Linked DNA regions of Mus musculus: region 2 is reported to be linked to region 1. Evidence: microRNA targets listed by miRTarBase, many of them from high-throughput screens and not tested one by one. Region 1 holds a microRNA gene; the other region holds the end of a gene's coding sequence.

The links. Region 1 holds the annotated microRNA mmu-miR-34a-3p (AAUCAGCAAGUAUACUGCCCU, at 1,520-1,540, shown strand). A microRNA usually pairs through its seed, bases 2 to 8, with sites in the 3' UTR of a target mRNA and lowers its output. Matches are read on the target gene's strand: a 7mer-m8 pairs with bases 2 to 8, a 7mer-A1 pairs with bases 2 to 7 and ends in A, and an 8mer does both.
Region 2: the mRNA of Foxo3 is a reported target of mmu-miR-34a-3p. The part of its 3' UTR that is shown has no 7-base or 8-base seed match.

The regions. Positions count from the first base shown.
Region 1 is chr4:150,066,998-150,070,248 of GRCm38, forward strand. Mir34a (microRNA 34a) reads left to right here and starts at 1,457; the gene lies at 1,457-1,558.
Region 2 is chr10:42,193,969-42,197,219 of GRCm38, reverse strand. Foxo3 (forkhead box O3) reads left to right here. Exons shown (of 4, transcript NM_001376967.1): 3 at 1-754. The coding sequence ends at 719. Among named protein-coding and RNA genes, the nearest start is that of Gm38485, 79 kb to the left of the region's middle.

The sequences.
Region 1 (3,251 bases):
TTGTTTTGTTTTTGTTTTGTTTTGTTTTTTTTTGTTTGTTTTTTTGTTTGTTTTTGGCTGACTTGACCTTCTGCTGATCTTATGAATACAGTCACAGCCACTGAGTTCAGGTGTTCAGTGGCTCTGTCGTGTGTGGCAAATACTGTTTCCCCGGAAGACATTTGCAGCCTCCAACTCTTCTGGCTCCACCCCGTTCCTAGGTGACCGCGGAGCCCCGGAGGAGTATGATAGATGTCATATTTAGAGTTGGACAACCCACAGTCTTGTACACAGACGACTTGTGGGTCTCCGTTAACCGCCGGCTACCTCAAAAGTCAGCTTCTCTGAGAGATGCACTAATCTGGATCCTTTTTGTTTACGGTGCTGGGGATGAAGCCCAACGTCCGGCACCTGTCAAGCAAGGGCTCCATCGACTGAACAAGTGAACGGCCCCAGCCCAGTCTCTGCATATTAAGGCAGCCAGCAGGGAATAGTGGTCAGTTTTCTGTGTAACTGGAGGCCTGGGGTCCACAGGCATCCACCCAAACACTGGCCTAGGTGTTGGTGTGAAGGACTCCAGCTTCCGGAGTCACTGCCCTGAAGTGAAGAGTACCCTCTACTCTCAGACAGTAGGTGGGCTTCAGCCATCCTGTTGAGGGACTATACTTCCTGCTGAGCCCAGTCTCAGCTCTGCAGGCCTGACCAGTCTCACTGGTTAACGGGGTTTGGTTGAGGGAAGGTCGCTGTTGTTTCACATCTCTTTGTTGGATTACTGGGGGTGGGGTGCATGTCATAGCGTGTGTGTGTGTGTGTGTGTGTGTGTGTGTGTGTGTGTGTGTGTGTTCTGGGATCTAACTCAGGTCCCCTTGCTTGGTAGCAAGTGCCTTTGCCTTTGCCCGCTGTCCTATCTCACTGGCTTAGTTTTATTTGTAAAGATTTGCTTGTTTGAATGTGTATACGTGTTTTGCCTGATGTGTATACACTGTGTGTGTGCCTGGTACCCCCGGAGGCCAGATGAGGGTGTCAGAGTCCCTGTAACTGGAGTTACAGGTGGTTGTGAGTCACCTTGCAGGTGCTCAGAATAGAACCTGGGTCCTCTGCAAGAGCAGACAGTGCTCTTAACCGCTGAGCCATCTCTTCAGCTTCCAGTTTTTACTTCAGTCTCACCATATTGCCCAGACTGGTCTTGAACTCCTAAACTCAAAGGAACCTCCTGACTCAGCCTCCTTGTGGAAGCCGGAAGGCATTCCTGAAGCCCTCCTGGTGGCGCTGTCCCTCCAGCTGAATCCCGACTAGTGCGCCCTTCGTGGGTGCTGGATGGGGAGGCACTGCTGTACCCTGCTGCTTCCCTCCTGTGCTAGCGTGCTGGCTTCCAAGTGCTGGAGGAGTGTGTCATACCTCGGTAGGGTCCACTACACATCTTTCTCCCGCAGCCTCTCCATCTTCCTGTGACTGCGGGCGCCTCAGCCTGGGCTGGCCAGCTGTGAGTAATTCTTTGGCAGTGTCTTAGCTGGTTGTTGTGAGTATTAGCTAAGGAAGCAATCAGCAAGTATACTGCCCTAGAAGTGCTGCACATTGTTGGGCCGAGAAGGAAAAGGTCAGAGGTCAGCAACGCCCACACCCCTGAGAGGCGCTGGACTTGCGGAGCTGCTCGACCATACTGGTGGGTATGGGATGCTGGGGAGGCTGGTGTTAGCACCCCACGGGGAGCATGTTTACGGGGGCTGAGTGTCAGGGGGAGGCACTGGGTCTGGAGTGTGAGCACTTCTGGCTAAGAGAAGTTTGCATGTCGGGGTACTAATTACAGCATGGAAGGAGACTGTATGATGTGTGTTGATCCTCCTAGCCAAACAGCCACCATCTTGGGGCATTCCGCTGTGCCCTCTTGCAAAAGGACTCTTCCTGCTGGGCTTGCTGGCTGTTTACACTTCTTGTGGAGGGCTGGGGACGGTCACAAGACCCTCACCTGAATGTCCAGCTGCCCCCTTCCACCTGCTCCATGCAACTCTGCCTGAAGCGCACGTGGCCTCAGAGAGGGGCTGAGCTCTGTAGTCTGGGTAAGCCCAGGCAGACCGCTGCTGTTGAGTGAAGGCTTTCTGCGTTTGGGCTGTTGGAGATCCAGGGTATACATCAAGGGTCTGCTGTGATCTGCTTCTTACAGACAGACAGACACACGGGTTCAAACAGAAAGGTAGCCGAGGACACAGGACATAGCAGGGGTGGAGTGCAGAAGTCTCCGGCTGGTGCCCCAGGGAATGGGCCCAGGGCTCAGAGCTGCCTTGCTGTTGAACCCACAGTGCCTCCTCTCATGAAGCGGGTTTCAAGTGCATCTCAGAAAACCTGGATGAGTTGATGGCTTACGTCCAGAATTCAAGAGGGCAACTGGTTTAGTAGCCTGACTACATAATGAGTTTGGGGCCATCCTGAGATACAATGTGAAAACCTCAAAAACACAAAAACAACCACCACCACCAGCAACAAAAATTGGTACAAGTTTCCCTTTTCAGTCAAAGCCCGGCCCAGGATGCTGATGGCTTTGAGGGGGTAACCTCTACCATTTGAGGTCGAACCTTAGACTGAAGATAGATACCCCTCTCTTCTTTCTCTTTCTGGGTTTTTTTTTCCAGTTATTTTTTGGGTTTTTTTTTTTTTTTTTTTTTTTTCGAGACAGGGTTTCTCTGTATAGCCCTGGCTGTCCTGGAGCTCACTTTGTATACCAGGCTGGCCTCGAACTCAGAAATCTGCCTGCCTCTGCCTCCCGAGTGCTGGGATTAAAGGCGTGCGCCACCACGCCCGGCTTTTTCCAGTTATTTTATTTCTTCTTATGTGTGCATTGGGGAGGTGCTCCAAGTGCCATGGCTCACGTGTGGAGGTCAGAGGTCAGCTATATGAAGTACGTTTTCTCCTTTCACCTTTATGTGGGTTTCATACCAGGTCTGCAGGCTGGTTAGGCTTGTGTGACAAGCATCTTTACCCACTGAACCATCCCGATGGCTCTCTGGTTTCTAGAGACGGGGTCTCACTGTGTGGCCCGGGGTTAGCCTGCAGCTTGTCATGCAGACCAGGCTGGCCTCACACTTGAAGCAATCCTCCTGTCTCAGCCTTCCAAGTACTGGGGTGGCAGGCTCATGTCACCACACCCGTCCCCCTCCCTTTCTCCTAATGTTGGTGTGTGTGTGTGTGCAGCCACATTCTTCAGCAAGCCCCTTCCCGCAGGAATTGCTCTCTCCCTAAGTAGACTCTGCACCGAGGGCTGCCTTTCCAGAGGGCCC
Region 2 (3,251 bases), not on the chromosome of region 1:
TTGGACCTTCGTCTCTGAACTCCTTGCGTCAGTCACCCATGCAGACTATCCAGGAGAACAGACCAGCCACCTTCTCTTCCGTGTCACACTACGGCAACCAGACACTCCAAGACCTGCTTGCTTCAGACTCACTCAGCCACAGCGACGTCATGATGACCCAGTCGGACCCCTTGATGTCTCAGGCTAGCACCGCCGTGTCCGCCCAGAATGCCCGCCGGAACGTGATGCTTCGCAACGATCCAATGATGTCCTTTGCTGCCCAGCCTACCCAGGGGAGTTTGGTCAATCAGAACTTGCTCCACCACCAGCACCAAACCCAGGGCGCTCTTGGTGGCAGCCGTGCCTTGTCAAATTCTGTCAGCAACATGGGCTTGAGTGACTCCAGCAGCCTTGGCTCAGCCAAACACCAGCAGCAGTCTCCCGCCAGCCAGTCTATGCAAACCCTCTCGGACTCTCTCTCAGGCTCCTCACTGTATTCAGCTAGTGCAAACCTTCCCGTCATGGGCCACGATAAGTTCCCCAGTGACTTGGACCTGGACATGTTCAATGGGAGCTTGGAATGTGACATGGAGTCCATCATCCGTAGTGAACTCATGGATGCTGACGGGTTGGATTTTAACTTTGACTCCCTCATCTCCACACAGAACGTTGTTGGTTTGAATGTGGGGAACTTCACTGGTGCTAAGCAGGCCTCATCTCAAAGCTGGGTACCAGGCTGAAGGATCACTGAGGAAAGGGGAAATGGGCAAAGCAGGTTAGTGCGCCACAATGCAATGGGAAAGCATCGCCGGTGGGCGGGGCGGGGGGGGGGCGGGGGAATGGGGGGGGTGACTCCTATCCTGACAGCGCATGCAGCAGTCAGGACTCCCAGCCGGTTCATCAGAGTTTTACCTGTAAACAAGACAGGGCTCACAGCTGTCAGTAATAAAAAGAACACCCAAATATTCAAAAAGCTCACTCTTTATGTCCTCTGTTGTCACTATGAGGCAGGTTCTCCTACCCTCTGTGTGTGGGTGGATAAGAGAAGGAAAGGGGAGGAAGGTCAAAGGTCACAGGGAAACACACCAGCCCGAGGAGTTTCTTAAAAAGGCTCACATCTAGCGCTGGTTTAATCTCTTGTGTGATGGTTCTTCACCCCCTAGGAAAGTAGTGTTTTGCGCTAGGAAAGTGTTAATGGCATGTTCTTAGATCACTACCTCGTTGATAGCAGAGACCCTTTGCAGAAAGGACACGAGAGATTGTGGGAAGAGTTTAGAACCAGCTGGTGCTGTGATGTCAAAAGCAATGGACTTGGGCAGTTGGGACACACCTATAGTCCCAGCACTTGCAGGTGGCGAGGCTACATAGTGAGGCCCTGAAGGTCCAGTCAGCTCCTGAGTGTCTGTCTGTCTGTCTGTCTCTCTTTCTCTCTCTCTGTTTATACAGTGGGATTAGTGGTCCTACCAGTCCATAGAGCTACTGTAAGAGTCAGATGCACAGAAGAGTGTGAAAGAGTTTTGTAAAACTTCACCAGGTCGGACGTACCAAGGGCAGTTGAGTGAGTGTACTGACTGACAGATGAGCAAGCCGGGAACCACAGAGGTTAAATACTTTGCCCAGGTCACACAGTTTGTCCCAGAGACTACACGTCTTAAGTGGCTTGATTCCTATTTTCTGTAAATGGTTTTTTAAAAGGCACTGTGGACTGAGCCAGCCTGAACTCTTCTCCTGCCTTGGGGAGGGGAGGCTGGCTGTTTATGCCAGCTGGTTTGTCTCAGTGTGGCTTCACATACCCGGGGTTGAAAGGCTCTGCACCCTCAGCTCCCATTTTCTTCTGTTTTTAATTTCAATCTCAGCAAGCTGCTTACCTCCTCCTTCAAGCTGCACAAAAGAGAAAAGGAACCCAGAGCCCTAAGCCCCACCCAGCCTTGTTAGCCCTCCTCCCTGGTGCAGGCATCATAAGGGTCTGCTAGAGCAAGCGAGCGCCTGAGCTCACTGAAGCCCTCCTGGTAGCTGTCCAGGGGAGTGTCAGAGCATCCCTGGGCTAAGCATCTCAATGTTCCCAGGCCCAAGAGGGCTCCTGGTGGACGCCCAGACCTCGCTGTAGTCCTTAGTAGCTTGGAGCCAGGAGAAGACCATAGTGAAAGCTGAGTAGCATGACCTTGCCAGCCGGTTACTCCCGGACCTGTTGGGTCATGGCGATTGACTTTAGAGATGTAGGTACATTCTGAGGTTTATCTCCAGTGAGGAAGACTGTGGTTGTGGTTTCTGACATGAGAATGTTGAATTTGTCATTGTAAGTAGAGACCACTTCCCTGTTCACCAAACCTGCGAAAATGTCCTATCAGCTTTTGTCTGTTTCAGTTGGATGTTCCTGGTTAAACAGCATGCTGTGTGTGTGTGTGTGTGTGTGTGTGTGTGTGTGTGTTGGTGTTGTGTTTATCAAAGTTATATGGAAATCTATTAAGGGAGATTTAAATATATAATAGCCTTCAATTTTATTAGTGCTAAACTTAGCACTAATAAACTTAGCTTGTTTCCACTTTATTAAAGGCAGACTCTCAGCCTCACCTTCCCTGACGAGTGTCCCCAGCCCCAGAGCCCCATCCTTCTGGTTTGCCGCTGCCTTGGTATTTCTCCAGACTGGTTTGCAGTGTGCTGACCCAAGGTCATGTGGCCCCATTGAGGCTAAAAGGAGCAGCCCTGGCCAGGTGACATTTTACTGAAGAACCTCTGTGACAGGCTCTGGAGATCTGGGAGTCTGATGTGTAGCTGTGTGTTGGTAGCGTCACGTCCTGGGTGGGTAGCGCCCCATCCTTCACCCATGCTTGTGGACTTTTCCATGTACAGGAGCGGGAGACGGGACTTGGTGGCTGTAGTCTGGGCTTTCAGTGAGCCCTCTTAAGCTTGACAAGACCCATGCCGGATGACTTAGCATGCCTTAGCATGCTGGAATTTCTTGGTCATCCCTGCCTACAATCTCACTGTTACACATTTTCCACTTGTTTTTACTATGAGCATAAAAATAAGGTCCTGCTACTTCAGGAGCTCCAAAGGTCAAAGGTCAGGCTGAACTCAGATGCCAGCTTCTTGTTAACTATCCAGCAAGACCTCTCCTTTAGTTCGTGCCTGTCTTCAAGGGCCAGTTTCTCAGATGAGCACCCACCTCAGCACATTGTCTCTGGGCTCTACTCTGAGGGGACCTGCAGGTGAAAACACCTCTGCAGCTCACCCAGAGTTGCACAGGGTCCCTGTGGCGGAAAAACTGAGCT